Macaca fascicularis: one gene and its partners. The protein of the gene in region 2 interacts with the protein of the main gene of each other region in a pairwise test. Links are inferred from orthologs where the notes say so. Each region holds a gene or a part of one and is shown on either strand. Other genes may lie near its edges.

Region 1 (3,644 bases), on a different chromosome or scaffold from region 2:
TGTGATCTTCTATGGCCACACCTCTCAAAGCCTCTATTTCCTTATCTCTTAAATGGGCATGTTAATTGTGTCTGCCTCAGTGGGATCTAGGATAAGGAATAGATGTTTTTATTTATTTATTTAGTGTGTAAGAGACAGGGTTTCACTCTGCAGTCTGGAGTGCAGTGGTGTGATCTCAGCTCATTGCAACCTCTGCTTCCCATGCTCAAGTGATCCTCTCACCTCAGCCTTCCAAGTAGCTGGGACTACAGGTGTGCCACATCACCACACCCAGCTAATTTTGTGTATTTTTTGCCGCTATTGGGTGTCACTATGTTGCCCAGGCTGGTCTCAAACTCCTGGACTCAAGTGATCTGCCCACCTGGGTCCCCTAAAGTGCTGGCATTACAGGCTTGAGCCACCGTGCCTGGCATAGGATATATTATTAAACTGTCAAGTACCCTAAACCATAGGGCATTATTTTAAAATTATTATGAACATAACATGATGAAAACTGAATCTCGTTTTCACTTCAGACCCAAGTCTGCCCTTCCAGAGACCTCAGCTCCAGCGATGGTTTCTTCTGTGTCCAGGGCGCTGAAGCACAGGACCTTCTCCCTCAGGGAAGGAGGTTCCTGAGGCAGAACCTCCCTTCTTTTTTTTTTTTTTTTTTTTGAGACGGAGTCTCACGCTGTTGCCCAGGCTGGAGTGCAGTGGCGCGATCTCGGCTCACTGCAAGCTCCGCCTCCCGGGTTCACGCCATTCTCCTGCCTCAGCCTCCTGAGTAGCTGGGAATACAGGCGCCCGCCACCGCGCCTGGCTAATTTTTTGTATTTTTAGTAGAGACGGGGTTTCACTGTGGTCTCGATCTCCTGACCTTGTGATCCGCCCGCCTCGGCCTCCCAAAGTGCTGGGATTACAGGCTTGAGCCACCGCGCCCGGCCAGAACCTCCCTTCTTTGGAGACTTGGGGTTCTTTGGTTTCAGAAGGAGATGCAGGGCCATTGCCTGTTCAAGGAACCGGGATAAAAATTGTGCTGATGGCCGGGTGCTCACGCCTGTAAGTGTGAGGCCGAGGTGGGCGGATCACTTGAGGTCACGAGTCCAGACCAGCTTGGCCAACATGGTGAAACCCCATCTCTACTAAAAATACAAACATTAGCAGGCGTGGTGGTGCATGTCTGTAATCCCGGCTTCTTGGGAGGCTGAGGCAGGAGAATCGCTTGAACCTTGAAGGCAGAGGTGGTAGTGAGCTGAGAGTGCACCACTGCACTTCAGCCTGGGCGGCAGAGCAAGACTCCATCTCAAAAAAAAAAAGTTGGGCTGAGGTTGGAGCAGTCCAGACGGGCCTTTAGAGGTCCTTCTATTTGACAGATGGAGAAACTGAGGTACATAGTAGGAAAAGTTTCTAAAATTATATGGAAAGGCTTAAAGCCAGGATGCCTTGAAGCCAGAGGCCAAAGGCCAAAGGCCATTGCCCCATGAGGGGGACTGGGAGGCACCTGGGGCAAACAGGGTGAGAGGGTGTCAGATGGCGGTCTCTGGTCTCAACCAGCTCTTGCCTTTCTTTCTCAGTTCATCTCAAAGAAGGACCCAGAGGATGTCAAAGAGGTGAGGCTCCTGGGAGGAAGAGGGCCCATTCTGCAGTTCCAGATCTGGAAACTGTCAAGGGGCAGCTGGTAACTCTGCTTGGACACCGGCCCTCCTTCCTCCCTGTCCCTGGGCAAGGGGCTGCTGCAGCTGCATCCTGATCCTCACCCACCCTGGGGGCAGGCTGGGCACCGGGGGCGGCTGCCTCCCACCATTGCCGGTTCTGGGCAAGTCTCATGTCCCTCGTAGGTGGTGGTCTGGAAGCGGTACAGCGACTTCCGCAAGCTGCATGGAGACCTGGCCTACACCCACCGCAACCTCTTCCGCCGCCTTGAGGAGTTCCCTGCGTTCCCCCGGGCCCAGGTGTTCGGTGAGTGTTAGATCGGGGCACTCAGGCCAAAGATGAAGGGAGCGTTGGACAAAAGGGGACCTCTGCCAGTGGGGGCTGGATAGAGAGGGCCTGAAACTCTGGGCAGAGACATGTTTGGAAGGGCTTTTAGAGATGACCTCATTTGACAGATGGGGGAACTGAGGCTCAGAGCAGCCTAACACTTACTGTGTATTGCACCTTTTAACATTCCTGTTGGGCCAGGCGTGGTGGCTCACACCTGTAATCCTAGCACTTTGGGAAGCCGAGGTGAAACTCCATCTCAAAAAAAAAACAACAAAAATCCTGTCTTTATTAGCTCTATTTTATTTTCCTTTTTTTTCAATTTTTTGTTGTTGTTGACAGCCTCTCTTTGTCACCCAGGCTGGAGTGTAGTGGTGTTATCTTGGCTCACTGCAACCTCCACCTTCCAGGTTCAAAGGATTCTCCTGCATCAGTCTCCTGAGTAGGTGGGATTACAGGTGCACACCACCATACCTGGCTAATTTTTGTATTCTTAGTAGAGACGGAGTTTCATCACATTGGCCAGGCTGGTCTTGAACTCCTGACCTCAGCTGCTCTGCCCGCCTTGGCCTCCCAAAGTGCTGGGATTACACACCTGAGACACTGCACCTAGCCTATCTCAATACTTACTATATTGATTACATGTTGCAGTGAGAATATTTGGGATATATTGGGTTAAATAAAATATTAGCCGGGCGCGGTGGCTCAAGCCTGTAATCCCAGCACTTTGGGAGGCCGAGACGGGCAGATCACGAGGTCAGGAGATCAAGACCATCCTGGCTAACATGGTGAAACCCCGTCTCTACTAAAAAATACAAAAAACTAGCCGGGCGAGGTGGCGGGTGCCTGTAGTCCCAGCTACTCGGGAGGCTGAGGCAGGAGAATGGCGTAAACCCAGGAGGCGGAGCTTGCAGTGAGCTGAGATCCGGCCACTGCACTCCAGCCTGGGCGACAGAGCGAGACTCCGTCTCAAAAAAAAAAAAAAAAAAAAATTAAAATTAACTTGTGGCTGGGCGTGATGGCTCACACCTGTAATCCCAGCACTTTGGGAGGCTGAGGCAAATGAATCACGAGATCAGGAGTTCGAGACCAGCCTGGCCAACTTGGTGAAACCCTGTCTCTACTAAAAATACAAAAAATTAATTGGGTGTAGTGGCGGGCGCTTGTAAACTCAGCTACTCAGGAGGCTGAGGCAGGAGAATCGCTTGAACCTGGGAGGCCAAGATTGCGTCGTTGCAGTCTAGCCCGGGCGACAGAGTGAGACTCCGTCTCAAAAAAAAAAAAAAAAAGTTGTTTCTTTTTTCCTTTTATTTAATGTAGCTGCTAGAAAATGTAAAATTGCATATGTAGCTCATATCTGTATTAGACAGTGCTGAACAGTTGCTCGCGTCTGCGTACTCACGTGAGATGTTCTTTGTTGTTGTTGGTTTTTGTTTTTGTTTTTTGAGACAGAGTCTTACTCTGTCACCCAGGCTGGAGTCCTGTGGCATGATATCAGCTCACTGCAAACTCTGCCCTCCCAGGTTTGAGTGATTCTCCTGCCTCAGCCTCCCAAGTAGCCAAGTAGCCTCCCAAGTAGTGTGCGCCACCACACCTAATTTTTTTACTTTTAGTAGAGACGGGGTTTCACCATGTTGGCCAGGCTGGTCTTGAACTCCTAACCTCAAGTGATCCACCTGCCTTGG
Region 2 (3,744 bases):
CCCGGACGGCCCAGCTGCTGACATAGATGGGGGCTCGGACCGAGGCCCACCCCACAGCCCGGGGGCGGACGAGGGCCAGGGCCAAGACCCGGAGCAGCCACAGCGCAATCGGGGCGGGCCGCATGGAGGCGGGGCGGGGCCGGGGGCGGGGCCTGCGCAAAGCCCCTCCCTCCCGCCAAACCGCCGAGTGGACCCAGGCGTCCTCTCAGCCCCCGGCTCCATAGCAACGCGGAAGGCTTCGACTCCCAGGGGGCCTTGCGGCTACTCAGCCAAGACGGGCGCGAAGATCTGACAGAAGCGGGGCAGGGACGCACGCCTGCCCGTCTCCCGCAGACCCACACCTTCGGGAGCCTCAGTTTTCCCATTTGTACAACGACAAGACTAACCCAGAGAAGCGGGTTCACTGTTGCAGTAACGCGTCCTACCCTTTCTTTGGCCTCGCCCACTTTCCAACACACCCCTCCTTCGAGAATCAGCCCGGCCTCCTATCCGGGCTAATCAGAATCATTCTTTCGAGTAATCCCGCCTCCCCCGATAAGCCCCGCCCCGTTCCCGCCCCTACCATTCCAACCTGCCTCCTTTGTGATCAGCCCCGCCCTCCACTGCTCTCGCCAATGAATCGCGTCCCGTTTCTCCAATCGGCTCGGATTTTTCTTTAGCCCCACCCACCGGCTCCGCCCCCACCCGCGCCTCTCATCGCCCTGGCTCCACCCCCTCAGTGTCGCAGCCAATAATCCCGTCCCCTGACGCCGCCCTTCCAATCAGCTACGTCTCGCTCTGGCCCGGCCAATCGGTGCCCTGGGCCGGCGCGCCCCGCCCTCTCCCGGCGGGGTCTGGGCAGCGGCGGCAGCGGGCGGAGGGCTATGCGGCGGGGGAGACGGGGCAGGCCCCACCTCCTTTGTCCGCCCTGCCCTCCCATTGGTCCGGGCGGGGGGCCGGGGGCGGACACCGGCGCCGGGCCGGAGCAGCGCGGCTCAGGCTGCGGGAAAGCGGCGCGCGTGCAGCGGAGTGGGTGCGCGGGTCCGCGGGCGAGCTCGAGCAGCCAACCCCGGGCGCGTCGGGGCCATGGACGGCCTGAGCCAGCGCGTGGAGCGCTTCCTGGAGCAAAGGAACCTGGTCACCGACGTGCTGGGGGCGCTGGAGGCCAAGACCGGGCTGGAGAAGCGGTATCTGGCTGCAGGTGAGCCGTCGGCGCTAGCCCGTTTCGCCAACGGGCACACTGAGGCCATGGGCCCGGGGGTCGCAGGTCTGACTCCCTCCCCGGCTACGGGGTCCGGTCCTGCTCGTAGAGCGCGCGGGGTGACCGGGACTTCGAGGTCCACCCGCAACTCCTCCCTTGCCCGCGCCCTGCGACCCTGCTCCCGAGCCACCCCTCTCTAGCTTCCATCCCTGGCCGTCCCCCGCCGCCTCCTTCTGGGCGCTGGGTGCCTGCCATGCCGAAGTCCGGTTCTTCCAGTTGCCCAGTGGCCCCGGAGAGGCCAGGATGCCAGTGTCCTGCACGTTTCGCCGTCCCCCTCCCCCCGTGGACCCCGACCTGGCTGCAACAGTGGAGATCTTCCCGTTTTTCCGAGGGGAGGCTCCAGGCGGGGAGGGGAACGGACCGTCCCGGGGGGCTGCTCAGGACTCTCCTCTCCTCCTCCTCTCCTGCCCTAGCTCACCTTGCCCCGCTCAATGGCTTAGTGCCACCGCGCGTAAATATTTGTTAAGACGGAGTTGGGTTGTCTGACAGCTGTGATGTGGGGAGGTTGGACTGGGGCCCACAGAGCGGGAGATCCAGGCACCCCGATTGTGACTCCATTACAGTTCTTCCGGGCCTTTCACCCTTGGTGACGCCGCGCCCCTTCGCCTTTCCAAAACTACAGCAAGAGCATGTAGTAAGCGCTCCTTAAATGCCTCTCTCCCCACCTTTAAAACTTTTTTTTTGAGATCGAGTCTTGCCCTGCCGCACAGGCTGGAGTGCAGTGGTGCAATCTCAGCTCACTGCAACCTCTGCCTCCTGGGTTCAAGCGATTCTCCTGCCTCAGCCTCCTGCGCAGCGGGGATTACAGACGCAGGTCACCATGCCCGGCTAATTTTTGTATTTTTAGTAGAGACGGGGTTTCACTATGTTGGCCAGGCTGGTCTCGAACTCCTGGCCTCAGGTGATCCGCCCACCTCAGCCTCCCAAAGTGCTGGGATTACAGGTGTGAGCCACCTTGCCTGGCCTAAAACTTTTTAAAGTTAACTTTTTTAAGAGACAGGGTCTCACTATGTTACCCAGACTGGTCTCAAACTCCTGGGCTCAAGCGATCCTTCTGCCTCAGCCTCCCAAAGCTCTGGGATTTACGTGGGAGCCACTGCTCCCAGCCCCACTGGCTCTGCCTTCTCTTCCAGGAAGCTCCGCAGAATGACTTGAAAGGACTTGATCTGGGCCTGGGGTGTTCTGGGTAGAGGACAGTGCCACTTTTTTGAGCACCTTCTGCAGGTGGATCCCCGGAGTCCAGTCCCCCCCTCCATTTTCCCACCATCTGGGGGTTCCCATGCCAGGCAGCCTGAGAACAGTCTGAAATCTGTGTCCAGACCCTGGAGGTCCCCAGGTGCCTGGTCCCATGTGCAGTGCAGCAGGTGGCATGGGCATGGCCTGGCTGTGCCTGCCCCCGGGAGCAGGTCCCTGGCCTCTGCCCTCCCTTTCCACATCCCTGGGGCCAGTGGGCAGGAATTTAGGTCACAGAGCGCCCAGGAGGCAGGCAGCAGGGAGGGGCTGGCTGGGGCACTGTGTCACCAGAGAGGAAACTGAGGCACAGTTTCCTCTGCGCCTGTTGTGTCTGAGGCGTACACCCCTCCACCCCGCCCACTCCCAGTCCCATCTGCTGCTAATCGTGGGGGCTGGGCCCCCCTCCACAGTTCTGATGTCCAAGGTCATCCTCCCGTTGCTGAAGCTGCAGGAACAGGGATTTAAGGGAGGGACACCCTGGGAGAGTCACTCCTCCCCACAAGCCAGGCCTGGGGAGAGGTAGCATTCCCTCATCCCCCTTCTCCCACCTCATTTAAATCGACAAATCCCACACCCCTGGGTAACATACGAAGAAACTCAGAGGAGACAGTGACCGGGAGGCCACACAGCCTCCCAGCTGGGGGACTCCGCCTACCCGTGACCTCAGGTGCTTGTGGATAAAGACTAAAGCAGGTAGGAGGGGCTGGGAGGGACTTGGGCCTCTGCCCTTTGGTCCGGAAGCAGCCTCTATCTCACTCTGCAGATAGCAGCTCCAGGGGAGGAGGAAGGAGGCTGTCCAAGCTCTCTGAAGCACGGGGGTTCCCTGTGTGACCTTGGGCAACACCCACCCACCCCCAGTTCTGAATAAGATAATTCAGGGAAAGCACAAAACCTGGCACACAATAGGCGCTTAATAAATGCAGCTGTCGTCATCATTCTTTTCAGAGCCAGGTTCAGGATTGGGGCTGAGCTGGACACACACACCTTTTTCTCTGAACACCCTCCTTGCTGGGACTGTGTTATTGTTGCCTGAAGGCACTTAATAAATGTGGAGAAGGGCAGGTCGCGGCGGCTCACGCCTGGAATCCCAGCACTTTGGGAGACCGAGGCGGGCGGATCACCTGAGGTCAGGAATTTGAGACCAGCCTGGCCAACATGGTGAAACCCCGTCTCTACTAAAAATACAAAATTCAGCTGGGTGTGGTGGCACGCTCAGCTACTCAGGAGGTTGAGGCAGGAGAATCGCTTGAGTCCGGGAGGCGGAGCTTGTA
Region 3 (3,744 bases), on a different chromosome or scaffold from region 2:
GGTTTTAGTTTTCAAATTTGCAACGGATGCTATTTGCATAGAATACTGATGCCTTTAAGTCTTAAAAACAGAAATCTGCCTGACCCAAGAAAAAGGATGAAAGAAAGAGATTTGTCCCTTTAAAATCAGCCAACACGTCCTATGTTAGTACTGAAGTACTTTCCAATTCTGGCAGGATGGGCTCCATGGCCACCTGCTTGCACTAGGGCCTGACTAGCATTTTATTAACATCCAACTGCAATTACCAGGACATTCATTACCACTGCTTGTACAAAGCAGAATTCTCTTTAAATTTTTTTCCCATACTGATTTCATCACCAGGTGTCAAAAGGCAAAACCGTGGCCTGAGGCCAAATAGAAAAATGTCATCTCTACAAATGAGGAGAAAAGACAAGGACTTTAAAAAATCAGGTCAACAAGCCCATTAGCCAATAATAGTTTGTAAAACTAGACTGTCTTCACACTAGAGGCTGTGCTAGCAAATGTGGTCCTTGGAAACAACGGCTGTAGAGCTTGAAATGGGTTGCCAGCATGGTTTGCCTTTTTCGTTTTTCATGTTTATTTTTATTTTTTTATTTATAACATGGAATCAGACTATGACTATAATGGAGCATAGCTATGGCGGGGTATAGGCACTGCCAAGGAAGAGACAGCGAAAAGCCCGTAGGGTTCCCAATCTAAGCTAGCAGACCTTCCCATCTTCCTCAGGAGTGGTCCCTGTCTCTGCAGCTGGAATGTGCGGGAGGGAAAGTTACAAGGGCCCCCAAAATGAGACAGCAAAACACTTCCTTCTGAGAACTAAAGGTCATAGGCTTTTAAGGAACAATAGAGCTCAATGTAAGCTTCAGAAAGATGATGACAGTCAGATGAGACGGGGGTAGGGAAGCAGGGGTGAAGAGATGCTCCCCGTCTGGGATAGCTGAATAGGAGAGTCAAGGCCAGGAACTTTAGAAGCACGAGAAGGGCTGGATCTTCCAGAACCTGCCCCAGTGGGCCTGAGAAACCTAAGAGGCTCCTCTGAAAATCTAGGGCATCTATGCATCCAATACTCTCAGCCCTCTCCTCGGGAAGGGAGATAATCCCCACAGGAAGCACCCCCCAAACTGGGGCTTTTCCTACCCTTCAAAAGCCACAAACCCTCACGGAAAACATTTACAAGGGAGTGGAAAGGCCGGGGGCAAGCAGCGGTTCTGCAAACCTCAGGAAGGAGGCCCCTGGATCCAAAGAACTTTGCCCCTGGAATGGGGGGTGGGGTAGGGAGGGCACCGTCTGAGGCCCGTAAGCCTCGGGGAAAGAAGCTGCAGGAACTGGAGCAGGGTCCCGTGGGTGCACTGACGAGGGGGTGGCGGCCTGGGGCGCGGTCGCCGGTGAGGGAGGCCCGCGGGCCGGGCACGGGAGCGGGGGCGCTGCGGGCCCGTGGCTGCAAAGAGCCGGGGCTTGGGAGGCAGAGGCCGGCGTAGGCCTCGGGGGCCCGGACACACCCACCGTGGCGGCCTCGGGCCCGCTTACCTGCTCCTCCTCCGGGGTCAGCTCCGGCGCCATGTCGGGCCGGGGCGCGGTCGCGGGCTCCATCCCCCAGCCACCGCCGCCGGGCGGACAGAACTCGCTCGCGAGCGCGGGAGCCCGGCACGCTCGGCCTCCGCTTCCGCGTCCCCGCGCCTCAGCAGCCCCGGGCAGGCTCGAGCATGGTGGGGCCGGCCAGGGCCCGGCGCCCGCAGCAGCCGCAAACGCCGCTTCTGCTTCTTTAAGAAAAATCTCTCCGAACTGCCCCTCTCTTCCGGGAGGAAATCCTTTTTTATATTATTCGCTCCTTTCCTCACACTCCCCCTTATCTCCTGGGGAAGAAAAAGTGCAGGCGAAGAGCTAACAGCCGCTCGGGATTTAAAAGGAAATCGGAAATCAGGAACTTTTAGAGCCGGGAGCGAAGGGTCGGCGGAAATTTCACGAAGGCCGCCGGCCCCCTCGGCGCCCCGCTTCCTCGGCCGCACTCCCGCTTCTCCACAGCGCCACAGCACTCGGGGCCGCCCAGCCGGGCCGTCCTCGCGGACGCTGGCCCTGCGACCTGCGCGGCTGCCTCAGCCAGGCTCCTTGCGGGCGGCCGCAGCGAGAGGGAGGGAGCGAAGAGGTAGAGGGAAACGCGCCCCCCTCCTGGCTCACGGCCAACGCTGCGGCCGCCCCGCGGCCGCCCGAGCCCCCCGCGGCTCCATTGAGAAACTGAGCGTCTCATTCACAAGCTGGTGGCGAGGAGGGCCCAGCGGAGCGAGGACGCCGTCCGGGAGGGGGAGACAGAGAGGAGCCCGGGCGGGGGAGGGGACCCGGGCGGGGAGGGGACCCTAGCAGGACGGAAGGCGACTCGACTGCGGGAGGGAGGAAAAGGAAGAAAAGAGTGTATTTCGTGAGGCTCAGATCTTCGGAGGAGGAGGAGAATACATTCGTTTGCAAATTATCTGCTGACTGGCACCTCTCCTGGGGTTAACTTGCCGCTGCCACCTACGCGTGAGAAACCCACAATCCTCATCTATTTGTCGCTTGCAGCCTGAAAGACCCTGGAAAGGTTGCCTGCCAGGCCAGGAAGCTTAGGTGGAAGGAATCGCACCTGCCTCCCTCTCTCTCCCTCCTTACTGGCTGTATCCTGTAATTCTTCTCCAGTGTAGTTAATGTTAATCCCCCACAGAAACATCAGACTCCGAACCTCATTCAGGAATGACGCGGCCTTTGCAGACCTTTGATTTTCACTAGGGCAAGTGCAGCAAAGGATTCAGGATTAGGTGTACACTCTTGGAATCATTTGGGGAGGAATGGGGCATAGAGAAGGCAAGGCTGGGTCTAGTATGTTGTTGCATTATTCCAAGCCAAAGATAAATATTCCAAAGGGACTCAGAGAAGTCCACAACTAGTTCCAAGGCTGAAGCCCTGGAGCCAGTCCTGTGAGAGACCCAAAGGAGGGGCCTTCACACAACAGGAGGGTGCTGTGAGTTGTGATGCTCCCACGATTTTTTTTTCTTTTTTCTTTTTTTTTTTTTTTTTGAGACTGAGTCTCACTGTGTCGCCCAGGCTAGAGTGCAGTGACGCCATCCCGGCTCACTACAACCTCCGCCTCCCGGGTTCAAGCGATTCTCCTGCCTCAGCCTCCTGGGCAGCTGGGATTACAGGTGCGCGCCACCACGCCCGTCTAATTTTTGTATTTTTAGTAGAGACAGGGTTTCACCATGTTGGTCAGGCTGGTCTCGAACTCCTGACCTCGTGATCCGCCCGCCTCGGTCTCCCAAAGTGCCAGCATTACAGGCAGGCGTGAGCCACCGCGCGCCCGGCTTTTTTTTTTTTTGAGACGGAGTCTCGCTCTGCCGCCCAGGCTGGAGTGCAGTGGCCGGATCTCAGCTCACTGCAAGCTCCGCCTCCCGGGTTCACGCCATTCTCCTGCCTTGTGATCTGCCGGCCTCGGCCTCCCAAGGTTTCTTTTTTTGTTTTGTTTTGAACAGTGTCTCACTTTGTTGCCCAGGCTGGAGTGCAGTGGCGTGATCACAGCTCACTGCAGCCTCAAAGTCCTGGGCTCAAGCAATCCTCCTGCCTCAGCCTCCTGAGTAGGTAGGACTACAGGTGCACACCACTGCACCTGGCTAATTTTTTTTTTTAAATTTTTTGTAGAGATGGGGGTCTTGCTATGTTGCCCAGGCTGGTCTCAAACTCCTGGTGAACCGCCTTTGCAAAATTATAACTGAGGATTTTATGACAGTGAAAGAAATC

Evidence for each region.
Region 1: the proteins of REEP6 (region 2) and SNX15 interact in binary tests that used the Homo sapiens proteins (3 or more experiments, as listed by UniProt). The two-hybrid records come from large-scale screens. The link is inferred for Macaca fascicularis from reciprocal best matches to the Homo sapiens genes REEP6 and SNX15.
Region 3: the proteins of REEP6 (region 2) and PTPN9 interact in binary tests that used the Homo sapiens proteins (3 or more experiments, as listed by UniProt). The two-hybrid records come from large-scale screens. The link is inferred for Macaca fascicularis from reciprocal best matches to the Homo sapiens genes REEP6 and PTPN9.

The regions. Positions count from the first base shown.
Region 1 is NC_088388.1:9,343,305-9,346,948, reverse strand, and holds part of SNX15 (sorting nexin-15), read left to right. Parts: intron 1-1,553; coding exon 1,554-1,589; intron 1,590-1,817; coding exon 1,818-1,938; intron 1,939-3,644. UniProt on the Homo sapiens protein: May be involved in several stages of intracellular trafficking. Overexpression of SNX15 disrupts the normal trafficking of proteins from the plasma membrane to recycling endosomes or the TGN.
Region 2 is NC_088393.1:2,086,635-2,090,378, forward strand, and holds the start of REEP6 (receptor expression-enhancing protein 6), read left to right. Parts: upstream 1-983; 5' UTR 984-1,065; coding exon 1,066-1,180; intron 1,181-3,744. Other genes in the region: PCSK4 (proprotein convertase subtilisin/kexin type 4), read right to left, coding at 1-124. UniProt on the Homo sapiens protein: Required for correct function and survival of retinal photoreceptors. Required for retinal development.
Region 3 is NC_088381.1:52,799,998-52,803,741, forward strand, and holds the start of PTPN9 (tyrosine-protein phosphatase non-receptor type 9), read right to left. Parts: upstream 2,268-3,744; 5' UTR 1,573-2,267; coding exon 1,510-1,572; intron 1-1,509. UniProt on the Homo sapiens protein: Protein-tyrosine phosphatase that could participate in the transfer of hydrophobic ligands or in functions of the Golgi apparatus.